Linked DNA regions of Struthio camelus. The protein of the gene in region 1 interacts with the protein of each later gene in a biochemical or structural test. Links are inferred from orthologs where the notes say so. Each region holds a gene or a part of one and is shown in the gene's direction. Other genes may lie near its edges.

Region 1 (7,237 bases):
CATATCTTCTTGAAATGATTTATTAGCAAAGCCTCTCATCAACCCAACGTTATTTCGCTTGGAATCGTCGTCAGCATGACGTTTGATCAGCATGATGCACCACGTTTGCTCAAGTAAAGGCCATACATTGCCCCCCAGGTTTTGCCATCCAAACAGGGCTCAGCCTTTACTTGAGTCTTTTGTAGTCCCCTGCGTTATTGCAAAACGCGATGGAGCTACCTGCTCTTTTGCAGACAGGCTTGTGCTTGTTCTGCCCGCTCTCCAAGCTGGCTGGGGATTAATGCGCTCGCTGTGCAGGGACGGCACCTGAGTGAATCCGGCACGGTCTCTTGAGAGTGCGGCGCTGCCTAACAAGGAAGTCTCCGATCTGAACTTGCAAATCTGGCAAATCACTGAAAACTATTAAAAATCCCTCTTTAAGGTGCAAAGATCACCTCCTCCAGCTCTTTAAAATTCTTGGATGCCAGATTGTCTGATTTAAAAGTGACCAACTTGAATATCCTCCGGAGATATTGTTTGAATGGAAAATACTTTGCCATAGTCATAAGACATAAACCTCTGTCCTCCCATCCCAAAAAAAAGAAAAAAAAAAAGTGAACCTCCATCCACTTGTCTGATCCAGGGAAAGGCCTGTTACCGCATGGTAAAGCAACGCGGTCAGTATTGACACAGAGAAAAGAGCAAAGTTATATCCTTAGGCTTCTTCTTCAGCTTGTTCCAGGCTGCCACATTAGAGTAAATTGACTTCATTTACCTGTTTAGTATCTGGCTCTGCTAATACTTCGAGTATACAAGGATTTGAATTTGTCAAGTCTTTTTTTTTTTTTGCTTCAGCTTTAGAAACTCCCCAGAGATTCAAATTTTACTCTGCCTCACTGCATTTGGATTATTCCTTATCTATATTGTGAATATATTATTTTAATACCTTTTTAGACAAAAAAACCCCCCATTTTTCTCATCTATCCCTGCATTCCATATAACCAGTTTTTAACACTCTGGGGGATTTGAAAGCAAATTTGTTTACCCTCATTGAAAGGAAAAGACATTAAACTTACCATGGAAAAGTGTTGTAATTCTCTTTCGCTATACATACATTATCAAATCGAAAACACTTAAAGATGAATTGCGCCATGCTTTTGCTATAGCTTTTGGGTTTTCTCCCTATACTGGAAAGTTCTCTATGCAAAGATGTTTCCTCCTCCTACAAACTCTCTGAAATACACTGCTCCACTGAGCCTCACGTTTTCAACGCTGCCAAGGAGGTACGTGGGCACAAGCCATTAAATGCCGTTCATATCCACGGGACGCTGACATCCAGTGAGTGGCTCTGAAGGACCAGAGCTTATTCCGCACCTGCTCGACCCTGTGACGACACCTGCAAATAAACGTCACCAGTTCTTGCTGAGGTGGGGAGGGAGGCGCTCGTCCCTCCTGGTCGGCCCCAGGCCCTAGCTGGACGTTTTTCGTGCTGCAACTGAGCGCGAGTCAGCCGAAGTCACCCGCCGCCGCTGCGCGTCGCTGGGCCTTCGTCTCCCAGCAAACCGCCAAACGTCTGCCTTAAGCGTCTGAACTCACCCGCAGAAGTAATGAAAAACGCGTTTTATTCTTCTGCTGCTTTTCATTCGATGGGCTGCAAGACTTTCAGGAAAATTAATCAACGAAATGCGTTTTATTGAGGGAAAGAGACAAATGAATAAAATTGCTTGCCAGGTGAGATCATAAAATATGCTGAGGCCGTTCCAGGAGCGCGAACCATCATCTTTGCCCTCAGTTTGAACGCTACGATACGCTCCTTCTCCCCAGGCATTGCTCAGTAATGCCTAATATTTTGCTGCATAGCTTACCGGTGTATCACAAAGCCACTTTTATCCCACCGTGACCTCGTCCGCCATTCAACGAGGCAAGGGAGAAAATACAGGATTCACTTTAATGCCTGAATCGCTTTGTCACAGTTGCGTCACCTATTTCGTTACCGTTCCTGGAGGTCTTTCAGCTGAGTACCCCGACAGGCATCCTCTTGATTCACTAATTGCCAATACTCGCCCTCAGTGGCTGCCTTGTCAATCGGCAGCACAAAGCCTTTCATGATAAAGTGCATCGATTGTGTGCGGATCATCTGGTGCCTGAATTATTGATGTTTTACAGTGGAATTAATTTTTTGGCTGTGTCAAAGATGGCTGACGAAAATTAGAAGTTTACACACACGCTCCCCCAGCCTTTCTCTCTTCACGGGATACAGTTTTTCCAGCCGCTGGCATCTGCCAGTGACAGGGGCACCGTCTACAGAGAAAAATCAGTTTGTTGTATGTCAGGAACAGCTCTATATAAGCAACGCAACTTTTGCCAATAACAAAAACTTCAGCTCATTAAAGCTGCGATTTTTTTGTGGCATTAAATTTACTTTTTCCTTTTTTTTTTTTTTTGAAATTTCACTCACATTGCACAGTACGATCAGATCTGCTAAGTGACGGTTTGACCCTCCACTAAATCCAGCCGTCATGCAGGATCGATATCGCAGCCACGATGCAAAGCACTGATCTGATTTAAACTCACTCTCCCAGCTCCAATTTGATTTTGAGCATGTAACAGGTTAACCTCCTGTCAGCAGGTTTGATGTCGGATTAGGTATCGACTCTCTGTCACGCCGAGTCCACGCCGTATCAGGTATCGTCTACCCTCCTGCAGCTGGCCTAAACTTCCGTGCTTTGTCCTCTGGCCAATGCAAGAAAAACGTAGTCGGATAGCTACATCTGATCCAGAAGAAACCGGGACCGCAGCTCTCCAGTACTGGTAATTTTGGCATCGGGACCTTAGTTTCAGCGTGTTTCTAATCCGTTCCCTTTGCGGGTGCCACGGTGTAGGGAGTAAAACTGGTGAGGAATACGCCCCGTAACAGACCGCTCTGTTCCCCAGCACAAACACTGTTCCTGGGCTTCAGCTCTCAAACCCGAGTGCAAACATTCAAACTGTGAGCACTTAAAAACACCTCATTTACATTAAACGTTGGGCCTGTGTCTTCTTTCCCATTTCAGTTTCAATGAATTTTAAATGCAACCCACCCCTAAACTTGACAGTAATCTCACTACTGTTGTAATAAACAAACGGAGAAAAGCAAAGAACCAGCGTGGTCTTCCTGAAACCACGCAAATCTCCAGAAATCTCTTTCCTCCATGCATTGCATCTTGCCTAAAACTGAAGATGAGTTTCTTGGATATCACCTCTGTTTGATTTTTCCTAGGTCCTTTTTGAGATATTTTTAAGTTAGGCCAGTGGGATCTTTCTGGATTTTGAGGGAATCCCTTCTTTCCTCTATTGGAGACAAGCCTGCAAAGCCTTGCCGTTTCCCTCTCCTTGAACTATGGTCAGCAGGGCACTCCAGCCCCCTCGGGCTCAAAAAAATCGAGACTAGTTTTTTCTCTCCTGGTCTTTGCTGCCCTACTTCTTCTCAGCCACGCTTTTCTTCCCACTGTGTCTTATCGATTCCCGATTTTCCTCCTCTGCTAGGATGTCACAAGGGAGACGCGCTTATCCGGGAAGCAGCCTAGGTGGGATTTATAGTTTCAGTGGGAGGGGAGGCACTGCGGAGAAATTTGTTTTATTGAAGAAAAAAAAGCAAATCAAAACCAAAAACAGGTTCATAGCACATGGCAGGGCCAGCATTTAGGGCTAACAACGTTAAGACAGGCACATCCAGCTTTTGCACGGTGCGACAGTTGTCTCTAATGGATGACAAAGCGCTTGACCAAGGAGCTGGGCAGCCCGTGCCCCGTTCGGCCGTGAGGGCCGGGGCGAGGGGCCGCGGCGGAGGGGCAGCCCACGGCCGGCGACAGCCGCCAACTGCCTCGCCAGCCTCGGCCTCCCGCCCCGCTGCCCGCCATTCCCGGGGCGCCCCCAGGGCCCCGGCCGCCGCGCTCTGAAATGGCCCCCGCTGCGCGCAGGCTTCGCCGGCGGCGGGACGCGGGCGCCGCCGCCGCTCCCGCGCCCTCCGGCCCCGCTCGCCGCCACCGCGGAGCCCCGGGCGCCCCCGTCAGCCCGCGCCCGCGGGCCGTTGCGGGCAAGGGGGCGGCGGCCGCCGCCGCCGACCAGCCCCACTCCCGCTCGCAGCCTTTGCCCCTCTTCAAAATGGCGGCAGGCACTCGTTTCCCCCCCCCGCCACCCCCAGGGCCGCTCTATCCGCGCGGTCCTCCACGCTCCGCTCGTTAGGCCGCGCTTCTCCCCTCCCGCCCCTGGGCGGGAGGCGGCGCATGCGCAGGCGCGCCCTCGCCTTCACTTCCGCTGTCGGCGGCCGCTTCCGGGCCCCCGTTCCTTGGTAACAATGGAGCAGAAAATGGCCGCCTGAGAGGGGAGGGAGGGAGGGAGCCGTTGCGACTGTTTGGGGACGGACGGAGCGGGGCGAGCCGGCACCGAGCCCGCTGAGGACCGGGGAGAGCAGCGGAGCGAGAGCTGGGGAGGCGGCGGCGGCGGGCGGTGAGTATCGAGGCCGGAGGCGGGCGTTCAAAATGGCCTGGAGAAGGGAGAGGCCCAGGCCCAAGGGGGGCGGCGGCGGCCTCCTCCTCCCGGTGCCCGGGGCGGCCGGCGCTGGCGCGGGGCCGGGCGGGCTGCGGGGGGCCGGGCCGGGCCGGGCGGCTCGTGGCTACGCGGGGCCGCGGAGGCCGAAAGCGTCCGGCGGCGGCGGCAGAGGCGGAGCGGGGTGCCGTGCTGGAGCCAGGGGCGGTGATGGCGGTGTGCGGGCGGGTGTGCCCGGGGCGCCGCCGCCGCCCTCCTCCTCCTCCCTCCCCGGCTCCCCCCTAGACGGGCCTGGCCTGTGGCCGCCGGGGGCTTTTCCCCCGCCGTCTCCGCCGGTGTGCGGCAGCGGCCTCTCGCCGAAGCGGCGCGGGCTCTTGCCTCCGTCTGGAGCCGGAGGAGGTTTGCGCTCCCGCCTCGGGAAGGGCCGCTGGGCCCCGCACCGTCTGGGGAGCCGGCTGGGCTGGCAGAGGAATCACAACCAGGCCCTTTTCGGAGAGGGGGTTGAAGGGAGTAGGGGGAGGAATTACAGCCACTGCCCTGGGCCTCGCCGTACCGCTTAGTGCCTCCTGGAGGATTCGTAGTTCTTCAGGACCGGGTTTTCAGTTCACCCTCCTGTGACTGGAGACAAGAAACACTGTTTTGGGAGAGGGGCAAAGGGAGTTTGTACTGCTGCCTCTCCTATAAGGGTCTTTAACTGCGACCTGTTAAAATCTGTGATGTTTGCCGTTCCTGTCCTGTTAATTTCTCTGCGCTTAGTCACGTCATCTTTGCTCTGTCACCTTACCTTCCCGTGTGTGAGTCCCGCCTTCCCTTTTTTTTTTTTTAATACTTTTTGCTGACATTTAGGGTTTTTGTTTACCGTGTTTCAAAACCGTGGTCAAGAGCACTGCACGTATATTACTTTTATTTTCAGTGATCTTTAATGAGGGAGTAATATCTGGTTGTAGTGTGTGTAATTATTATTTTTTTTATGCAATTTGATCTTATTGTGTAGAACAGCAAGCCTGCCAAAAAGTTTCACAAAAAAATACTGTATTTTTTGAATAGCTTTAGTTTCACTGTTTTTTGAGAAGATGCAGGCTTTATCCAGAGAAGCTTGTCTTTGAGTAAACAAGCCTTCAAACTGGATTGTATCCAAATAGTACAGTCATGCATCTGATTTATTTCCCCTATCCAGATTGTCAATTACTGGTTAATTTCAAGTTGGAAGTCATCATAAAAATGCTAAAGAAGCTCCAATACCAAATTGTCCCTGGATTTTAATTGCAGTGACTTGACAAGTCTTTTTGAAAAATAAACAGTTGGCTGCTGCTTGTGCAGTTAATTATCTTAATTGGGTGTCTGATGCTTAGTTTTGTTGTAGTGGTCAACTAGCACCTAAAATGACTGTATTCCTTGTACAGGTTTACCATTTTGGAACAAAAAGAATTATAGCTTGGAAATTCTGTCTTGCCTGCTCATGACAAGGGGAAAACACCACATGCTGTTAAATTAAGATGTTCTCATTATGTCAGACCGCAAAAGCATGGTAGTTGCAACATTCTTTTCATCAGCAGTTCTGACTGTATAAGTGTTTGTCTCTGAAATAACCGCACCAGCGTCTTTTTAGCATGCAGTGATTGTCATTCGTATTGTATTTATACTCCATATTAATAAATTCATAGACATACCAAGGTACGCTGGAAAACAGTGTTACAAGTGTTTGGCCTCCATTATGTGTCTCTTTGTATCTGTATTTTTAGGGGAAGGGGCAGTGTGGTCCCTAAATGGAGACATTTGTAGAGCACTTACATATCAAGGTACTTGAATAGCTTATTCCTGTAGTGCTCTTCCCCATAGGAATCTATCAAAATAAATTCCTTGATCTTGATAGAATGCTTGTAGTTGTGGTGGAGGTTTTGCACGTTTTTTTTTTTACAGCTGTAGCTTAACATAACTTTGTGTAACAGAGCCTAAAGATTGCATTTAAGTCCAATTTAAAGGTATGTTGTTTAGTATATGTTATTAAGCTGCTCTATTTTTTTTTTTGGTAGAGAATTCAGTGTCCGTGTATTAAAACATTAACAAGAATATAAGGTATTTATCTAAGTTTATGAGTGTGTATAAGCTGATATATTGCAATGTACCTTTTAGTCTCAGTCTTCATGACTCTTTAACTTGAAAAAGCATAGCCTCGAAGGGGTAAAACAAAACATGAACATCCCTGTCCTCGAGATATCTTAATATGATGGTCCTGTGTATCTCAAAAACAATACTTGAATATAGTGTAGCAGTGTAATAGCTTAGAGAGAGGATCTTCCTTCGATGTGCAGAATAGCTAGTAGCATCACAGAGACTCCATTTTGCTTTTGAAAAGACTCCTGGCTGCAATGAAGAACATCAGAAGCACAGGAGGCTGTATCTCCATCGTATTGTCCAGGCGCTAGCTATTAGGTTTGGTGGGTTTTTTGCACTGATCCAGATTGTGGAAGCTCCGTTTCTTAGTGAGGGCTGAAAAGTTGCACAGTTTTGTAAGAGCAGCTAATAATAATTGAATATGTAACAAAAGTCAGTGCACGTTTACTTTCTCTAAACTTAGTAACTTAAGAGCATTACCTTAGAGCAGTGTTAATTTCAGTATGCAAGGTGTATGTGCATGTAATGTTGTTAATGAAATGCTTGAGCCTGCCTACCTTAGTCATCAGAAAGGAACTTGCAGTCTTAGAGACGTGTTTAAATTCAAATGAGTTTT
Region 2 (7,697 bases), on another chromosome or scaffold:
TTTTCATGACCCTCATTGTTTAAGAGGTAGGACACAACAAACCATCATTTCTTTTAGGAATTTATCACAATCCCTGTAATCGTCTTTGTAGGGTCTGGGCTTGAATATTAAAACTACTTGTAGGCAACTATAGAAAGATAGTGAAACAACATTGGTAGTTAGTCCTGACTGGCTCTTTAGTGCCCCTGTGTTTTGTACTAGAATCCACAGAGAGATCCCAGGGATAGGTTAGTTAAGAAGAGAGCCCAGAGATTTCAAATTTAATGACCTAACTGGGGGGAATGGGCTTTGTTAACAGCCAAAAATCAAAGAGGTTTAGTGTCCCTAAAATAAATAAATGTTGGGCAGCATAGCAGGTATTGAATCTGGAAAATTTGGCTAGCTTTTGTAGGACTGAATCATTAACATTGCACATTTTAAAGTTGCAAATATGTAATTAGTGCTGTGGTTTTGAACTTTGCTGAAGAGCAAGACCTGAATTTAACTCTCATTCAACTTATTTTCATCTGCATATTAAAACAAAAGGCGTTGCAGGTTTGTAGGAATTATTTGACATGGAAACAGCAGCTTGTGTGCTTGGGAATATGTTATTCTTTTGCTACATACTGTTAACTTCATATTGCCTTGACCCTGTTTGAAATGTGGCAAAATAAACAGATACTCAGAGTTACAGTGTTCTTTTTTGTTTCATGAGAGTATTAAAAGCATGAAAGTAGAATGTTGATTATCTGTGCTGGTGCTATAACTTCAGTGTTGCCAGCTAACTGGCACAAGGCTTTCACTTTAATTGCTAGTAGTGACCTCATCCGGAAAAGTTTCCTTGTCTTTGAGTTCAGTTGTGTAAATCTTAGTTTATTTTTTATTATTTTGTATCTTTATAATGACAAGTTATATCCTTTTACATATTCTGACAGTAAGGATGTATTAAGTCCACCATGGAACGGGCGATACTGCTTTGCCATGGTGCATTAAAGGTAGGTGAGTTACAAGAAAGTATTTCCTTTTTAAAAATGCCTCAAACCACTGTCTCTTCAGTCCCAGAACTTTTATTTGTGTATTGTATTATATTACAAAAGTTTTTATAAACATTTATAGGTCATACAAAAACTCCTGTGAGTCACTTTTCAAGAAGGATTTCTGGCTCTTTGTAATTCATGGAGCTTTCTTTGCTATTCCGATGTTTTTAAAGAGGAAATACTAAACCTGCAGAGAAAATAGAGTACTGTGGAATATGCTAGGTCAGAGAATAGAAGAGCTGTAAGTGCTAAAGAAACCTAATGAAATTATTCCCTAGAACTGTAATTTTTAATTTCAAACAATGTATGCATCCTGCTATTCCTGCTCAGAACTGGATGTGCACTACCTTTTTAACAAGAGGTTCAAAATGTATTTTCTAGGTCTCTGTATTGCATATGAGGTGTTGAAAATGGTGAATATAACAGTTTGATAATTTAAATATTTATTTGTCATTCAATAATTTGACATTTTCATAGTTTTTTTTTTTTTTTAACTTAATCTCATACCTCTTTCTGGGAAGGAAAAGTGACTATTTTGTACTAAACTGTAAATTAATGTGCTTGTTAAAAATAAATTGCAAGCATTTGGACAAAATGGTGCATTTTGGTTTTTTATCTGTGTTTGAGATCTTTTTAGCTAAGCTATATGGCAAGGGTAGCCTGTATACAAATAAATTGCAAACCATGTAGGTAATTTTGTGCAGGAACTTAAAATAATTTTTAGGAGTACCAGGAACATGTAAACCTGTGCTCTATTTCTTTCTGTGTTCTCCTGTAACTTTATAAAAAACATATGTGTAAAGACATTGCTGAATGTCTGCAGGAGTGATGGGAAAAAAATCACTTTCTGCCCAGTTATTTGTCAGTATTTTATATCTATGTATTTATACATATCTGTAAAAATCTTTTTCCTTTTCCTTAAGTCTGAACATCTCTTCTTTGGCAATGGTGATGCTAACTGCCTCTAGACACTTGCAGATTTTTTTTTTCCGGCTTCTACTGGCATCAGCAGTGCCTGCTGCTGATATGGTGGGCTAGGTGACTTGCTGAAAATATTGATTATCTACCTGCAGAAGTACTCACCTCAGGATGTTTTCAGAAATCAATAAACTGTACGCAAGGTACTCTGAAGTTTGATACTGCCACCCACTTTAGAGAAATGTGCATTTCCTTGCTGTCTTGTGACCCGGACAGGAGAGCAGTGCCTGCTCTCTGCAGTTGTCCAGCATGTTCCCCTGGGAAACCTGGTCTAACCTTCATTGCCTACATGTCTTAAGGGCAAATGCAGGTATCTGCCCTGCTAGTTCATGGGGTAAAGGTACCCTGTCCTTACCACCCACAGGTTAACAGATATGCGGCCTCATTTTAACCAGGCGCTAAGAGAACTCACTGCATTATCTGATGAACCAGTTCACAAAGTGGTTGGGAAGATGGTTGTACTACACCGTCTTCCTGGAGGAGGGAAATAAGCACAAGCTCCTCTAAAGGAAGAATTTGTCCCTCACAGTACAGACCTTTGGGTCTGTCTGCAAAAAAAGCTGACAGAAGGGAACTGGGTGCAAATACATTTTAGGCTTCTGTTATTGACCTCAGGAAATGTTTTTAAGTTTTTTTTTTTTTTTTTTTTATGGTGGCAGAATCACAGCGAGGCAGCTCATGGGCCAGGACTGATGCTACAGGAAGGGAACTGCTGAGCTGCAGGGATGGATCACTTGGGGATGGGGGTGCCCAGGACCCTGGTGGCAGCCAGAGTGGGTGGGCTGGGGCTTGGAGCTGGGTCTGCAAGGGGCTGCGGGCCACATCGGAGAGGCACCAGGTGGGTACCAGGGAGCCAGCGGGGACTGAGAGCTAACGTGGAGCTGTCCGAGGCCCCAGGCCTGGAGGGGGGCAGGTGGCTGCGGGGAGCTGGCGCCTGCTAGCGCCGGTCCTGAGCAGGCATCAGCCGCCTGCCCAGTGCTGCGAAGCCTGTGCCGCTGCCCCGACCCCTGCCCCCCCGCACGTGCCAGTAAACCCCCCAGGGCTTCTTCCAGAGGAAATGCTCTCCCCCCCCCCACCCCCAACGGTCCTAAACTGCTTCCTTAGAGGATCAGACAAAAAAATCCACTTATAAAACTGAGCTTAAAAGAGACCCTGTGAGCCATCAGCTGCCCCACTAGGGACTGTGTCCCCAGGGAGGGTCCTGAGGCCCCCGTGCAGCCGGGTGCTAGCGGTACCCAGCAGGACTCACCAGGACACCTGGCTGCCACTGCAGCAAGGTGGCCGCAGTACCCAGCGGTACCCAGCCCGGCACCAGTGGTACTCCACCGGTATTCCAGCTTTGCTCCAGCCTGATATTTTGGTACTTTTTTGAGGGACTCTAGATCCTTCTCCTACTCCAAAACGCCCCCCTCCCCTGCATTATTTTCCAGTCCTGCAGATCCAAGCTGTCACCCAGCCTGGGACATGTTCCCCAGCCGGTTGCACCCCGTGGGGAGATGGGCCTAGATGGAGCCGTCGGGCCGCCACAGCCCTGCGTGCAGCAACGAGGCCAAAGGGGAGCACAGCTGGATGGGGCCCAGCTCCGGTGGTGCTCAGTGCTGGGTCCAGGGCCGGGACGGGTGCTGTCGGGCTTGGGGGGCTTGGGACTGGGCCCGCTGCCCCCAACCATCACAGCGGGGCCACCCCCGCCGGCAGGCGAAAGTCCCTGTGCTGCCGCCGGGCAGGAACATATGTGTGTTTGGAGGCTCCCGCCCCTAAGCTGCTTTTATTAATTTGTAATCCCCTGCGAGCAGGAGGTAAAGGGATTCGGGGGATTAACGGGCTCACAGTAACAACCACAATTATCAGCTCCGGCTGCCTGGGGCAAGCAGTGCGTACGCATGCACAGAGATGTACGTCCTGCCACACACGCATACACCCACCCACCTGTGTGTGCACACTCTTCTGCACGCACAGATGCACACGCACACAAATACAGACACGTCCTCACAGCAGCAGGCACACCTGCACACACGCACCTGCCGACGCGGAGCCCGGCACACCCCTGCATGCACACCCACGCACAGACACAGCCTTGTGCACACCCCCCCCACCAGCACACGTGCACCCCTGCACACACCAACACAGCTGCACGCAGCTGCACGTGCAGGCCAACGCGCACACACGCCCGCACGCACACAAAACTCCCCATAGCCCTGTGAGCGTGCACACGTGTGCCGCCTGGCCCACACATGCGTGTACACACACGCACCCTGCACATGCGTGCACACACACACCCGTCACCATGTCCCCCCATCGCCACTTGGAGCCCGTCACCCCCCGGCCTGAGGGCTGCTCGCTACCGATGCGGGGTGGGGGACGGTTCCCCACGCCCACGGGCGGCTTCGGGGGGGCCGGGCCCGGGGCCGATGCGCCCCCGCGGGACGTGTGGGGACAACCCCCCCCCCCGCCGCTGCCGCCTTTGTGATGCTAAAGACCCCCTCGGTGTAACTCGCCCAGCTGCGGCCCGGCCCGACGGCGCGGTGCCGCCCCCGGCCCGCCCCCCCCCGCTCCGCGCCGGCCCCGCTCCGCTCCGCCCCGGGCGGCGGCCAGCCCCCGCCGCGCTGCCCTGCGCTCCCCTGCGCGCCGCTCCGCCACTCCTCCGCAGCCCGCCGCGCACCTCGGACGGCGCCCGGCGCGCCCGCGGGGCCGCGATGCTGCTGGAGCGGGTCCGCGCCGGCTCGGAGAAGGCAGCGGAGCTCTGCCCCTTCCCGCGGAGCCCAGGTGAGGGGCGGGGGGCGCGCGTAAACCGCCGCGTCCCCCCCGCGGAGGCAGCGGCGGCGGCTCTGCGAGCCCCGACGGGAGCGGGGCGGCCCGAGGGAGCCGTGCCGTGCTCCCCGGGGCACCGTCGGGCCGCGGCTGGCGCTGGCTGCAGGAGAAGGCGGGCGGCCTGAGGCCGCGGTGTGAGGCTCCCGCCCGATGGCTCCCCGCCCGCCCGCCCCACGCTCCCTCGCTCTTCATCCTGCCTCTTCCCCGAAATAAGAGACAAACCCCGCAGCCGCCGGTGCCGGGCTGGGGCTGGGCACGGCTGCTCGCACCCCCCGGCGCCTCCGGCCCCGCGCCCGCTCCAGGCGCCCGCGCCCGTTTCCGTCCCTTTCGTCCCGTCGGGTTTGAGCTCGGGCTCCCCGTTCCCCGCGCAACGAGGGCGAGAACGAAACGCGGCGTTTCCAGCCGCCGGTTCCTCCCCGACGGCGGGCACCCCCTGCGCCACCCTCTCCGGCTCCGGTCGTGTTTCCCCCGCAAGGAAACGCTCCCGTTAATTCCTTTGATAAACGGGTTTTTCTCCCCCATTTAATAAACGGAGAAAGCGCCGGCGCTGTCGGGGTGGGGGAGAACTGCGCGGGCTTTTGCGCGCCCCGGGACCGCCCGTTCCCTGCATTTGTGCGGAGCCGTCGCGGGCCGGGCCGCTGGGTGCCGGGACCGGCGGAGCGGGGGCAGAGCCGTCCCGGGGCATCGCCCGGCTTTCCGCAGGCGCCTGCCGCCGCCCCGTCGGGCCCCGCGCTCGCCCGCGGCTGAGAGGTGTCTTAAAAACAAAATAAAGAGGAGCCGAGGCCGGAGAGGTCCCGGTCCCAGCCACGCTGCTCCGCGCTGCTCCGCAGCCCCCGCCCCGGCCCCGCGCTGCCCCGTTTGCGGCGGGAGCCGACGGGACGGAGCCGGGCTTGAGCCGGCCGGGCCGGGCAGCCGGCAGCCCCCGCCGTCGGGCCGGTGTCCCAGCTCCTCCCCGGTCTTGGCGCCCGGTCTGTCTTTCCGGTGCGTTGCCCGGCGGCTCTGCGCGCTGCGGTTGTTGCAGCCGCGGGCGACGGCGCGTTTGACGCCGCAAATCGGGAGATAAGTTTTGCTGGAGCGGGAAGAAGCGAAACAGCCGCAAGTGGATTCACGGTACAAGGAAGTACGCGGAAAAGCCATTTGACCGCAGCACCCGGCGCCTATGAATAGCTCCGCGGCTCCCGGGCTCGCCAGCGCCCGCGGGGCCGCCGCTTCCGTCGGGGCCGGGGCCGGGCGAGGCACCGGGCGCCGCGGAGGCTGCGGCAAACGGCGCCGCGGGGCTGAGCGGAGCAGAGCGCCCCAGGGCACGGCGGCGGCAGCACCGGGGCCCGGCGGGGGCCGTTCGTTCGTGCCGGCCGCGGTGGGTACGAGCCGCTCGGGCGCTTTACCCCGGGGAGGGTAAATCCCTGTTTCTCCGCGGCCCGAGGAGGCGGGCAGCGCACAACGAGTTCCCGGGAGCGGTGGGTGCTGCCCCCCCAGGCGCTCCCCCGGTGCGGCCCCCGGGGCCGGCCCGGCCCCCTGCCCGCCGCCGGCCCCGTCGGGGGGCGGCTCCGCCCGGCTTTCGTTTCCCGGGCGCCCCGGAGCCGCCGTCCTCCCACCGTTCCCGGTCGCCAAGGGGCGGCGGGAGGGGATGTGCCCCCCGGCTGCCGGCCCCGGGCGGGGGGGGGGGGATTAAATATAGCGCCCTGGGATGCTCTGCCCGGCGCTTCCAGCCGGCACCGGGCAAGGGCTGGGGGCTAAAAATAACCTGCTTGAGCGAATTAAATCCCTGGCGCTGCTGGGGGGGCAGCGGCGGGGGGTTATTGCCGCCGTGATCTGGGGGGGGGGGGGGGGAGCTCGGCGCCCGGAAGGCCTGGCGGGGCGGGGGCGCCTCGGCTCCGCACCCCAGTCGCGGCCCCGGGAGCGACGGGGCGGGCGGGCGGCGCCTGCCCGGGCGCCGTCGCCGGGCTGGGGGCGGCAGCGCGGGGGCTGTGCCCGCGCCCCGCGGAAGATGCCCCAGCCCCAGGGCCCCGCCTGAGAGAGAGCCGCAGCCGCGGCCCGGCGAGGCGCCATGCAGCGTAAGAGCCGCGGAGCGCGGGGTCGTGCCGCGGAACCGTGCCCGGTGCTTTGCCGTGTAACCGTGTCCCGGGGCCGCGCCGTGGTACCGTGTGCCAGGGTTTTGCCCTGTTACCGTGCCCGGTGCTTTGCCATGTTACCGTGCCCGAGGTTGGGCCGCGGTACCGTGTCCCGGGGCTTTGCCGTGTCACCGTGTCCCGGGGCTGTGCCGTGTTACCGTGCCGCGGCCGTGCCGTCTTGGGCCGGGGGCCGGGGCGGCAGTGAGGAGCCCCGTGGCAGCCTGGCTCTCCCCGGGGCAGCCGGGCCGAGCCGGGGCCAGCGCCCCCGGGGGCTGAGGGTCACCGCTGCTCCCGCGGCTGCCGCTGCTGTTGCTGTTGCTATCTGTTTGAATGTGGTTGATTGCTGAGGAGATTATTATACCTACAACGATATTTTCTTTACCTCTACACCTATCTACCACTATGCATCTCTATGTATGTCTTTATATAGATATCTATATATATGGATATCCATATAGCTGCATCTATCTATACCGATATAGCTATACTGGTATATTTCTGTATATCTGTCTGCCTCTTTTCCTATCTATAGCTATACCTATATATCGATATCTCTATAGCTATATCTATATAGCTGTATATTTTTATCTATGAATAGTTATACGTATTCATATATTTTTATATTTATGCATCTGTCTATTTTTGTATCTTTATCTATATCTATTTATATCTGTATCTATATCTATATCATCGCTACCGGTATCTGCAGGGCGACGAGGCAAGCCTACAGGGTTTTTATTTTCTGTACAATTCTCATTATTTTTGATAATTTTTTTTGCCACCC

The links.
Region 2: the proteins of RLIM (region 1) and LHX3 form a complex in vitro, tested with the Homo sapiens proteins (2 studies listed by BioGRID). The link is inferred for Struthio camelus from reciprocal best matches to the Homo sapiens genes RLIM and LHX3.

Annotation. Positions count from the first base shown.
Region 1 is NC_090952.1:7,277,443-7,284,679, reverse strand, and holds the start of RLIM (E3 ubiquitin-protein ligase RLIM), read left to right. Parts: upstream 1-4,236; 5' UTR 4,237-4,467; intron 4,468-7,237. UniProt on the Homo sapiens protein: E3 ubiquitin-protein ligase.
Region 2 is NC_090961.1:3,432,473-3,440,169, reverse strand, and holds the start of LHX3 (LIM/homeobox protein Lhx3), read left to right. Parts: upstream 1-4,687; coding exon 4,688-4,757; intron 4,758-7,697. UniProt on the Homo sapiens protein: Transcription factor.